3 linked regions of the Saccharomyces cerevisiae S288C genome follow. The protein of the gene in region 2 interacts with the protein of the main gene of each other region in a biochemical or structural test. Each region holds a gene or a part of one and is shown on either strand. Other genes may lie near its edges.

Region 1 (3,868 bases), on a different chromosome or scaffold from region 2:
CCATATATAACTGCAAAGATTGCTGTTCTTGACATTCTAAGAGATATGATGATTAGATCTCCTGAGGCTGCTAATCGTGACGAAACTGTCGGTTTAATCGAACAACAGAATCCTGGGAATACCGCTAATAGTGTACCGATAATGCCAACTCTACCTCCAAGACCTTACATCACTATTAATGAAGATCGCATGGCTTCCATTCATAGCATTGCTTTAATATGTTTTTCTGCCGCCAAGCAAAAGAAAAGAACGCAAGGTGATTTACTCTTGGTACTAACATATATGAAATTTTTTGTTAGTTTAAGGAACAAATGGGATTTGGGTCTGTTAACACTCATCAATAAAGAAATCTCCGAATCATTTCAAGGAGAAGGTGAGCCTGAATTAGCATTCATCAACATTTCCAATAATACTCTGGGAGAATATATAGAAGAGATGAACATACGCTCGTAAACTACATAGTAAATTAGTTGCTCTTCTCTTTTGTTCCCGAGTAAATCGAATTATTCTATTAAAGGGAAACACTATGTTTTGAGTCATCCAAACTTTCATTTTTTTCAGATTTCATCGCCCGATCGTCAAGGAATAAAAAGGGAAGGGATGGGATACTTGCATTGGAACCCAGAAAGTACGTAAAAGATGAAGATCGTGAGAGATTGGTCAATGGATAAATAGTTCTGTAATTATGTCTAAGTATCAAATTAATTGCATAAGATACCGGCACTTTCTCAGGACATCTAATATCTCGCAGATCCCTGATTTCACGAAATACTGCATTGGTCCCGTAAATGAAGAATTGGCACCTTACATCATGGAAACCATGAAGGCATACCCTTCAAATTCCGAATATATCAATCCGCAGCATTACTATCATAATAGAACGGTATTAGTAGAAAATTACTTAAAACGAAGTCCAAATCCAGTATCATTAACGCAGTTAGCGCAATATTATGACGATTCTACCAAGCTGACCAGAACCAAGATCATCAATTCCGGGAAATTTGTAAAAGAAGAACTGGTAATTAGGATCGCGCATAAATTAAATCAATTGCAACAACTTCCATTTAATGTTGTGAACAACTTCCATTTTGTTCAAGTTTATGAGTCATATTACAATATTTTTGAAAGCTTTAGAAAATATCCGACTATAAGAACTTTAGAGGACGCTTCTCAATTTGCAGATTTTATCAAAAATATGCTAGAAGGCTTCAATACTCTAAACTTACCACATTTGATAATGGGGGCTTTAGAATGTACAATTTTGGATCTTTATCCTCGTGAAAAAATGGACCAACTACTATCTGATCTGTTAAGAGCTCGAATATCAAGAAGATTGATTGTAGAGGAACACGTCAGTATCACAGCCAACTACACTAGTGGTAAGGAGGAAAATACCTTGGTATTGGGTGATATTTTTCAAGAATGTAGCGCTAAAAAATATTTATTGGAAGCCAGTGAGGAATCTCAAAAATTTATCCAAGATATGTACTTTAAAGACATTCCCATGCCAGAATTTATTATCGAAGGTGACACTCAACTAAGCTTTTACTTTTTGCCTACACATTTGAAGTATTTGTTAGGGGAGATCCTTCGAAATACTTACGAAGCAACCATGAAACACTATATTCGTAAGGGATTAGAAAAGCCGGAACCAATCATAGTAACTGTAGTAAGTAACGATGAATCCTATTTGTTTAGAATTTCAGATAAAGCTGGGGGCGTCCTCCATGATGATGAAAATCTATGGTCATTCGGTAAATCGAAAGAAAGGGCTCAAGAATCCCTAAATAATTTTCACAAGTTACCTGGTTTACAAACAGTATCTATTTATGACGAAGTACATTCCCATACTAAATATAACTCCAAACTGAAGTCATTGCAGTCAATAACATTAAAACCGTACATGCACACGTCGCTAGAACCAATGAGTTATCCTAGCATCATAAATGGGCACATCAAATATGAAACTCCCCTAATTGAATTGTTAAAGCGGTCTTTTAGATACAAGCTTGGGATTGGGTTAGCCATGTGTAAAGTGTATGCTGAATATTGGAACGGCGACCTTTCATTGCATTCAATGCCTGGATATGGTACCGATGTTGTATTAAAATTAGGCAACTTGATGAAGCATACGAAGAAACTACAATTAGATAAAGTGTGAGCTAACCATGCTTACACTATATACCAAGGAACAAATACATATTCGGAATATTAGTATGGTGACTACATTTCCCGGATTAGTGTATGTATATACAAAAAGGCACCTCCGGGTAGCCGGAGTAGAAAGCTGGAAAAATAAAAATGAAAGCGAATGGAATGTGTAAGAGAAAAAAAGGAAAGAACTATCAAGTTGCAGAGTTGATGACATAAATAGTAGAGTGGAAAATCAACGAAGATCGAATTCCAAAGATTATTTTTAGGCAGACAGAGACTAAAAGATAAAGCGTCATGTCCACACCAGCTAGAAGAAGGTTGATGAGAGATTTTAAACGTATGAAGGAAGATGCCCCACCGGGTGTATCTGCTTCACCATTACCTGATAACGTCATGGTATGGAACGCCATGATTATCGGGCCAGCCGATACTCCATATGAAGACGGAACTTTTAGGTTATTGTTGGAGTTTGATGAAGAATATCCCAATAAGCCACCGCATGTCAAATTTTTGAGTGAAATGTTTCATCCCAATGTCTATGCAAATGGTGAAATTTGTTTGGATATTTTGCAGAACAGATGGACTCCAACATATGATGTCGCATCCATATTGACATCCATTCAAAGTTTATTCAACGATCCAAATCCAGCTTCGCCAGCAAACGTTGAAGCTGCAACATTATTCAAAGATCATAAATCACAGTACGTCAAAAGAGTTAAGGAGACGGTAGAGAAATCTTGGGAGGATGATATGGACGATATGGACGATGATGATGATGATGATGACGACGACGACGACGACGAAGCAGACTGAGAAAAATCAAAAGAATCTTAATGATGAATGCCGAGCCGATATTATGAATTCGATTACCTTTTTGTTCAATCAAATATAGGGCTTCATCGTGAGTTTCTTTCTCTATCGATCCGTTTGCTTTCTATTCCTCCATCTTCTACTTTATACCGTAAAGAAAATTTAATAATGATAGAAACATTGCATATAAATAATATACTAAAAAGAAACACTGCTCTACCATAAATTTCTTTGGAGAAAATAACGTGAAATGAGAAATAAGGACAATTTGTTATCGGTTATAACTGCCGATACCCGTATCTTTTGTGTTTGATTCAAGGAATACTTATTTAGAGTAGAAAGAATATATTTACTTAGATAACTTAATGTATAATATATAAAAAAAATCAAAAAAACAGGAAAAAAAAAAATCATGAGTGAGTGGCACTTTTAACTGCAAGAATGAAGAGTGACCCCATTTTTTTTTATTCTGATATTACAGTACTCTTCTGTGCGGGCAGCTCCTTCGTTTTTTGTTTTGCACTTTCATCCAACCACACATATATGGAAACAAAAACGACGAATGAAATTATAGCTTTGCTGAATGGATCTATGCTCTTCCAAGTAAACCTTTTATCATCAAGATGAAACACCTTGACCACGTTTTGCACATCAGCAGGTAGTATATTTGCGTTTTTGTTATTTTGTAGGAGAAACCAATTATATTCGATGAATGGAAGTTTCAAGAATTGGGACCTAACTGACGGAGAAGAGTTTGTCAGGACAAATTGAGTTCGAGGTCCAAGAAAGCCAAATGACTTGTAGTACCACAACTGAATGAAATCTTGCTTTAGATCATTCCAGTTTCCTCGCATTTTCTCATTTATGGCAAAATCCAATAAATCTAAGTCATTACCACTTAACT
Region 2 (4,996 bases):
TAACGACTATATGCACGTTGCAGTATTGTTCTGGCCATGTAATTATCTCTCTCCCAACGTTTTAGAAGAGGTTTTCGTCTCCTTCGTCAAAGACGACCACTTTCCCATTTTGGTCATTGGAACGCGAAAAAACAAAACAGACGCGAGAACGCGACGCGAAAAAATATATTTTTCCGTTTTTTTTTTTTTTCGGAACAAAGATAACGCGTTAAAACCTGTGGATGTAATAAGGATCTGAAACACTGACTAAAACGCGTCCTCATTTAAAATCAAAAAATTACTTCTTCTCCTCCCTTACGGTGCCCTTTGATCCTTCTCAAACTTTAAATATATGTTGCATGATTAATTGAAAATCATATAGAGTATATCTTAACAGAGGTTCCAACGCTTTAAATCGTATTCTATTCTTTTCCCCCCTTTTATTATAGTTACATCTACTATTTGAGCTTCTTTTATTGACCGAAACTACCTCTTATTTCGAAGCAAAAAAAAAAAAAATCAACAAAAATTCCAACTTTTCAATGATGAATGAAGACATATCCATCATTGATGGCCATAATAGTTTTTTAACGGAAAAAAGCACCGTGCTATTAACCCAAGCCAAGAGAACACTAGAAGACGAAAAGGAAATGATTACTCCCCCGAGCTCAACTGTGAGAAAAACAATGAAGGAAGTAAATAAGAGGCCGTCGCATCCCCTCTCACCGGATCACTCGTCCCCAATTGCTCCATCTAAGGCCAAGCGCCAAAGATCGGACACATGCGCTCGGTCCAATGGTAACCTAACCTTGGAAGAAATTCTTCAATCTTTGGAAAGAAGAAGAATAAATGGTGAACTCGCCAAGAAACCTCCATATTCGTATGCAACTTTGATTTGCTTGGCCATTTTGCAATCTCAGGAGGGAAAGCTAACGCTATCCCAGATATATCATTGGATCCACGTTCACTTCCCTTATTACAAGCAGAAAGATGCTAGTTGGCAAAATTCAATAAGACATAACTTGTCTTTAAATGATGCGTTCATCAAGACTGAAAAGTCCTGCGATGGTAAGGGTCATTTCTGGGAGGTCAGACCGGGTGCCGAAACAAAATTTTTCAAAGGTGAAAATCGTGGTTATGAATTTGTAAAGGACTCCTTACAAGACATTGGGAAGTATTTTGAAATAGATTCTACACTTGATGAATTAGAACAAGTTGAGAGTGGAGAAGGCAATGATGATCTTCCTGACGAGGAAGAAAGAGAGGAAGCAGGGAAATTCCCTTCCATTGAAATTCAATTGAACTCCTCCCCTATACTGAGAGTTTCCCAGTTACATCACATACCGCAATTGAAAACAGACAACAGTGTACTGAACCCTCACGAAAACCTAGAATCGATGCGGAACATGATAGAAAACGATGTCAACAATATAGATTCCTTGGAACCTCCTTATGTCATGAAGAAATATCATACTTCTTTAGGCTTACCGTCGCTGGTGAATGCCAAAGATCATTTCCAGGCGGGTGTGAAAAACAATAATATCACCCAGGCAAATAGATTTAATACACTCCCTATAACTAGCGCAAAGTCTCCTCAGAATTTCAGAAAATATTTCACCTCATTCAATTCAAATTTTGAAGATTTATCTCCACTTCGAAGTAATGTAGGGGCTGGTTCTCTACTCGACCCACTTCCGTATTCCCCATTGAAGCTGTACGATCAGAAAAATCTTGCGCTCATGTCGAAACCACAATCTCAGCAATCATATTCCAATTCTCAACTTCCACCTCCACCTTCCTCTCATGGTTCGGACTTACTTAAAACACCCAAGATGAGGCATTCCGATGGCTTAGAGAAAACCCCATCGCGGTTGATAAGCACACCTAAGGACGGTAACTCGATTTTGAGGAAATGGCAGACTCCTTCACACCTTTTTGAAGATTTGTACTGTTCTCCGCTATTTAGAGCTATAGAGACTCCAATCAGGTATATCACGACGCCGGGGGGCACTTTGGAAACCCAAATTTCACCAAGAAAGTCCTCTGCACCCGATGTCCTCACAAGCGCAACGAATTCCAAATTTGCTTCAAGCGGGCTGTTTGGCGTGGATGTTTATTCTGTTTGGAAGCGCGCAACTGAAAAGATTTCTGATGGTAACAATACTACGGATAGCAATCAAAAACATCATCCTTATCATAATCACCCTTCCAACGATAGCGGTAATGAAAAGAATTGACTTTTTTTTTTTTTTTTTTTCATTTTCTTTTCCTCACCGAAAACTAATTATTCTTAATCTGATGGATTCATCGCAAACGGTTGGATGAGTCCTAAACTGGGCTGGAGTTATCATATCACATAGCATTTTCTTTTTAATCTTATTGTATTGTCGGGTCAACTAACTTCTTTTCCCGCTCTTCTATGGTATAATCAATTGCAGAAGAGGCAGGAAAAAATTGTAATCATAACAAAAATGATACAAATTTTTTTTCTAAGTTTTATATTTTACATATCTTTATTTTTGATCCTTACGGATTTTTAATACAGTATTTAGCTGAAGTTTCCATTCACTTCACTTACCTTTTTGATCTCTTTTATTTTTACTTGCCCCGTTGCCTTGCATTTTTCAATAGAAAGTGAAAAACTAAGTACCACTTGAGCAATGCCACATTAGAAGAAAAACCATCCGCAAGTGAGCATCACAGCTACTAAGAAAAGGCCATTTTTACTACTCATGGACCACCAAATAACCACTGCAAGCGACTTCACGACTACTTCAATACCGAGCCTGTACCAATTGGATACACTTTTGAGATGTCACATTTGTAAAGATTTTCTAAAAGTCCCCGTCTTAACACCTTGTGGCCATACATTTTGTTCCCTTTGTATTAGAACACATTTGAATAACCAACCAAATTGTCCTCTCTGCCTTTTCGAGTTCAGAGAGTCCTTGCTGAGAAGTGAGTTCCTGGTCAGTGAAATAATTCAAAGTTATACATCCCTACGATCTTCCTTACTAGATGCACTAAGGATACCGAAGCCTACCCCTGTCCCTGAGAATGAGGAAGTACCAGGTCCTGAAAATTCTTCATGGATAGAACTCATATCAGAGTCTGAAAGTGACAGTGTAAATGCCGCTGATGATGACTTGCAAATTGTTGCAACAAGTGAAAGAAAACTTGCCAAAAGATCCATGACTGATATATTACCACTGAGTTCCAAACCATCCAAAAGGAATTTTGCAATGTTCAGAAGTGAACGTATCAAGAAAAAATCAAAGCCAAATGAACAAATGGCCCAGTGCCCCATATGTCAACAATTTTATCCTCTTAAAGCCCTTGAAAAAACACATTTGGATGAATGCCTAACTTTACAATCACTAGGCAAAAAACCAAAAATTTCTACCACTTTCCCTACAGAGTCAAATCCACATAACAAAAGTTCATCCAGATTCAAGGTACGAACTCCAGAAGTCGACAAAAGCTCATGTGGTGAGACCTCACATGTGGATAAGTATTTAAACTCAATGATGAGTGCAGAACACCAAAGATTGCCGAAGATCAATTTTACGTCTATGACTCAATCCCAAATAAAACAAAAACTGTCATCGTTGGGACTGTCAACTAATGGTACTAGGCAAAACATGATTAAAAGATACAATCACTACGAAATGCTTTGGAATTCTAATTTTTGTGATTCTCTAGAACCTGTTGATGAAGCTGAACTAAAAAGACAGTTGTTAAGCTGGGATGTTTCACACAATAAAACCCCCCAAAATAGTAGCAACAAGGGTGGAATTTCTAAATTAATGATAATGAAGAGTAATGGGAAATCTTCTTCATATAGGAAATTACTTGAAAATTTCAAAAACGATAAATTTAATAGGAAAGGATGGATGGTTATGTTTCGGAAGGATTTTGCTAGGCTTATCAGGGAAGCAAAAATGAAAATAAAAACAGGTTCATCGGACAGTTCAGGTTCAGTGGGACATTCTAATGATGGAGATGGTGTTGAAAAAGTTCAAAGTGACCAGGGAACCGAGGATCAGCAAATGGAGAAGGATCAGGACACTGTTATCAACGAAGATAGAGTTGCTGGTGAAAGAAATTTGCCTAACGAAGATTCAACTGATGCTGACTTATCAAGAGAATTAATGGACTTGAATGAATATAGTAAAGACCCACCCGGTAACAATTAAGGTGTGTATATGTAATCAGGCCTGTTTGTTAGCTTGTGCACATTTGTTAATTAATAATTTATTTAAAAATGGGCAAAATATAAATGCATAAAAGATGACATAGAGATATGTGCACAAAGCTATGTAATCATATTTAACATTAATATATATTATTTCGTTATTCACAATTCGTCATGAAGGCCAGCGTAGTTTACGGTTCCTGCTACTGCATTATCATCGTTGACAATGTTTGTATTCGAATTATTATTCAAAGGTGCTGCAATTGTTTGCGGAGGGGCCACTGGATTAGGCAAAGAAGTGATCTCCACGTTAAGTGCTGAAATAACTTCACTAGATAGAGAGACGTCTTCGGTAACATCTACCGTACCAGATGCCTGCATTTCCGTCGTAAGCATTCGGGAAACAGGAGTATTTACATTTTCGCTGATTTTGTGGCGTACCCCAAACGCTTCAGATGAATCTTTTGATGACTGTACTTCTATCATTATTTCTTTCTGTACAAATCCTGATGCATCAATTGAACTAGCAGATATTTTGTGAGGGCTACTTACAAAAGATGGTGCTGTTGTGGTTACACCTGGCATCGGCTGAGCTACTGTGCTTGACGCGCTCTCCACGGATAAAGTTCCCTTGCCTATATCAGACAGAGCGCCAATTGAAGCACCACTACTACTAAAGATCATAGATGCCATAGAAGTCCCTTCAATATTTGTGGATTCTGATAGGGAAGATTGACCAACACTCGTCTTAGGTGATTGTACAGCATCAGTGAAAACACTAGTGGGTTCCGAACTGTCAGCCAAAACACTAGTGGGTTCCGA
Region 3 (4,003 bases), on a different chromosome or scaffold from region 2:
ATTGATTCTACCCTACTTGGACGTAGATTTGAAGTACTACGACTTATCTGTCGAATCTCGTGACGCCACCTCCGACAAGATTACTCAGGATGCTGCTGAGGCGATCAAGAAGTATGGTGTTGGTATCAAATGTGCCACCATCACTCCTGATGAAGCTCGTGTGAAGGAATTCAACCTGCACAAGATGTGGAAATCTCCTAATGGTACCATCAGAAACATTCTCGGCGGTACAGTGTTCAGAGAGCCCATTGTGATTCCTAGAATTCCTAGACTGGTCCCACGTTGGGAAAAACCAATCATTATTGGAAGACACGCCCACGGTGATCAATATAAAGCTACGGACACACTGATCCCAGGCCCAGGATCTTTGGAACTGGTCTACAAGCCATCCGACCCTACGACTGCTCAACCACAAACTTTGAAAGTGTATGACTACAAGGGCAGTGGTGTGGCCATGGCCATGTACAATACTGACGAATCCATCGAAGGGTTTGCTCATTCGTCTTTCAAGCTGGCCATTGACAAAAAGCTAAATCTTTTCTTGTCAACCAAGAACACTATTTTGAAGAAATATGACGGTCGGTTCAAAGACATTTTCCAAGAAGTTTATGAAGCTCAATATAAATCCAAATTCGAACAACTAGGGATCCACTATGAACACCGTTTAATTGATGATATGGTCGCTCAAATGATAAAATCTAAAGGTGGCTTTATCATGGCGCTAAAGAACTATGACGGTGATGTCCAATCTGACATCGTCGCTCAAGGATTTGGCTCCTTAGGTTTGATGACTTCTATCTTAGTTACACCAGACGGTAAAACTTTCGAAAGTGAAGCTGCTCATGGTACCGTGACAAGACATTATAGAAAGTACCAAAAGGGTGAAGAAACTTCTACAAACTCCATTGCATCCATTTTCGCGTGGTCGAGAGGTCTATTGAAGAGAGGTGAATTGGACAATACTCCTGCTTTGTGTAAATTTGCCAATATTTTGGAATCCGCCACTTTGAACACAGTTCAGCAAGACGGTATCATGACGAAGGACTTGGCTTTGGCTTGCGGTAACAACGAAAGATCTGCTTATGTTACCACAGAAGAATTTTTGGATGCCGTTGAAAAAAGACTACAAAAAGAAATCAAGTCGATCGAGTAATCGAATTTACGTAGCCCAATCTACCACTTTTTTTTTTCATTTTTTAAAGTGTTATACTTAGTTATGCTCTAGGATAATGAACTACTTTTTTTTTTTTTTTTTTACTGTTATCATAAATATATATACCTTATTGTTGTTTGCAACCGTCGGTTAATTCCTTATCAAGGTTCCCCAAGTTCGGATCATTACCATCAATTTCCAACATTTTCATGAGTTCTTCTTCTTCATTACCGTGTTTTAGGGGGCTGTTCGCACTTCTAATAGGGCTATCACCAAGCTGTTCTAATTCGTCCAAAAGTTCAGTAACACGATCTTTATGCTTTAGCTCGTCATAATCTTTCAATTCATAAATATTTACAATTTCGTCTACGATATTAAATTGCCTCTTGTAGGTGCCTATCTTTTCCTTATGCTCTTCATTTTCACCGTTTTCTTGAAACCAAACACCGAACTCACTACGCATTTCTTTCATAGGCTCATATAATACTTCTTTTGACGTCATTTGATCAAGTATTTTTGTTATTGCGTCGTCCATCTCCCCATCTTTTAGATCAAATTGATTTTCTGCACTTTCTTTTCCACCAGATGCTACCATTTGATCTAATAATTGTGACAATATATCATCAATATTATTATTTTGGCCACTGCGTTGAGATTCCTTGGTTTCTTCGGCTAGGGATGTATCAACTTTATTACCATTTTCCTTTAACCTGTCTAGCGTATTGGAAACAATGTTTTTAAATCCCGGATTGCTACCATTCACGGTCCCTTTATCAGTGCTGTTACTTTTCAAACTACTACATCCTTGCTCCATCTGTTGATGAGGTACTTTAGCTGCCTCTTCTAGAGCACTAATCAGTTTATTAAAATCTTCTGTCTTCACATTATTCTCGTTACCGTTATTTTTCATCAAATTTGCGAACTCATTTTGCAAATCTACCATCATTTCTTTCAATTCTGGGTCCTCTTCAGATTCATTAGCTACCTGTACGCCATCACTGTCCTTACTTTCGGCATTCTTCTCTTTGTTTTCACTATCGTTGTACACAGAACCCTTCGCTTGCACATCATCGGGCTCTGCTTCATCCAGTTTAGTGGGATCTTCATCTAAAAGGTCATCCAAATCATCAAAATTATCGTACTCGTTTTCATTCATTACTTCGTGTTGTATGTTTGGCATTTCTTCTTTCCGTCAATACTTCGGTTCCCACAATTTGTAATTCTTTCTTCACTTTATATCTCTCAGAAACCGCGTTTAACATCTGGAAATTAAAAATTATTCCTGTCTCCATAACAAACATTTAAAAAAAGAAGAGAAATTTAGCATAGGATAAGCACACACTGGCACCATTTTTTGGAAGCAATATGAGTAGTTTGTGTCTACAGCGTCTTCAGGAAGAAAGGTAAGTAGTAGTTTTCCTCCTTTTATGCTTACATTCTGTAGGCATACACAATTTCATCCAGCGGTATACTAACAAATCGATGAACTTAACTTGTTTTACTTGAATAACAGAAAAAAATGGAGAAAGGATCATCCATTTGGATTTTATGCCAAACCAGTTAAGAAAGCTGATGGGTCCATGGATTTACAGAAATGGGAAGCTGGTATCCCAGGCAAAGAAGGTACAAACTGGGCGGGTGGTGTGTACCCAATTACAGTCGAATATCCAAATGAATATCCTTCAAAACCTCCAAAGGTTAAATTTCCAGCCGGATTTTATCATCCAAACGTGTATCCAAGTGGCACAATATGTTTAAGTATTTTAAATGAAGATCAAGATTGGAGACCCGCCATCACGTTAAAACAAATTGTTCTTGGGGTTCAGGATCTTTTAGACTCTCCAAATCCAAATTCCCCTGCTCAAGAGCCTGCATGGAGATCATTTTCAAGAAATAAGGCGGAATATGACAAGAAAGTTTTGCTTCAAGCTAAACAGTACTCTAAATAGAGGGAATCCATCTTTCCCATTCTTCCTCCTTTTGTACTTTATTTAACTAATGTCGTTGTGTAACAAAAATAGAGCAAAATAACATTATTTACAAATTCTCAAAAATAATTTTTTGCTCTTTGTTTCTTATGCTAAGTAAATAGAAAGATATTTTTTGTACCATTTTCTATAAGTATGGCAACTATATACACTTTAATAAATCTATTGGTTAGTAGAATTTTCATTCATTTTGTAGTGAATGAAACTATCCAACGTAGTAAAGCAATCATGGCATCTTTCTTTTAGTTCGGGATTTTTGTTTTTATCAACCATTTTGAATTGCTGCCTCAAATTTGGTACAACTTGGTCTTTTAGAATAGATAAAAATCCACCCCTTACAAATATTGGTTCATTATAGTCGTAAGAGGCATCCCCGTAAATTTGGAAAAGCGAATTTGTCATTTCTATCAAAATTTCAGGGCGAACATTCAACTGTGTTAAAGTTTGTATGAAGAACTGCCCAATCTCCTTATTTGCATCAATTTGTCCCTGAATCATAGCATATGTGCTTAGTACATTAATACATTTTTGTTGTAACTCAAGGTCATTATTATTTTGGAACTCTTCAATAATTCCCCTAGCGAATCCTGAATTGTTCAGCATTTGGACATTGATCAATGCTCGATTCTCACTTTCAAACGCTCCATCAGGAAAGATGAGTTTCAGAAGCGCCCAAATACAGCCCATTCTTCCTATTTTAATACTCAAATCATCTTGGCTGTCCAACTGTGTAACATAACTCCATAAGGTGGTTAACAACTCTCCAGAGAGCTCTGTTAGAGATAGAGACACAAAGAGCCAGATCAGATTGTTCCATCCGATCAATATTCGCGAGGTGAAGGTATCTTTCAAAATCATGAAA

Evidence for each region. The genes of interacting proteins can lie anywhere in the genome.
Region 1: the proteins of RAD18 (region 2) and RAD6 form a complex in vitro, tested with the Saccharomyces cerevisiae proteins (12 studies listed by BioGRID, with this or other methods).
Region 3: the proteins of RAD18 (region 2) and UBC9 form a complex in vitro, tested with the Saccharomyces cerevisiae proteins (2 studies listed by BioGRID, with this or other methods).

What each region holds. Positions count from the first base shown.
Region 1 is NC_001139.9:391,538-395,405, forward strand, and holds RAD6 (E2 ubiquitin-conjugating protein RAD6), read left to right. Parts: upstream 1-2,448; coding exon 2,449-2,967; downstream 2,968-3,868. Other genes in the region: YBP2 (Ybp2p), read left to right, coding at 1-453; protein kinase PKP2, read left to right, coding at 686-2,161; GEP7 (Gep7p), read right to left, coding at 3,429-3,868. UniProt on the Saccharomyces cerevisiae protein: E2 ubiquitin-conjugating enzyme that accepts ubiquitin from the ubiquitin-activating enzyme E1 and transfers it to a E3 ubiquitin-protein ligase.
Region 2 is NC_001135.5:228,789-233,784, forward strand, and holds RAD18 (E3 ubiquitin-protein ligase RAD18), read left to right. Parts: upstream 1-2,711; coding exon 2,712-4,175; downstream 4,176-4,996. Other genes in the region: U2 snRNP complex subunit BUD31, read left to right, coding at 1-3; HCM1 (Hcm1p), read left to right, coding at 522-2,216; GTPase-activating protein SED4, read right to left, coding at 4,337-4,996. UniProt on the Saccharomyces cerevisiae protein: E3 RING-finger protein, member of the UBC2/RAD6 epistasis group. Associates to the E2 ubiquitin conjugating enzyme UBC2/RAD6 to form the UBC2-RAD18 ubiquitin ligase complex involved in postreplicative repair (PRR) of damaged DNA.
Region 3 is NC_001136.10:334,969-338,971, forward strand, and holds UBC9 (E2 SUMO-conjugating protein UBC9), read left to right. Parts: upstream 1-2,518; coding exon 2,519-2,556; intron 2,557-2,666; coding exon 2,667-3,102; downstream 3,103-4,003. Other genes in the region: isocitrate dehydrogenase (NADP(+)) IDP1, read left to right, coding at 1-1,153; PEX19 (Pex19p), read right to left, coding at 1,281-2,309; SYO1 (Syo1p), read right to left, coding at 3,304-4,003. UniProt on the Saccharomyces cerevisiae protein: E2 ubiquitin-like--protein ligase mediating SUMO/Smt3 attachment to septins and PCNA. Seems to be involved in degradation of S- (CLB5) and M-phase cyclins (CLB2).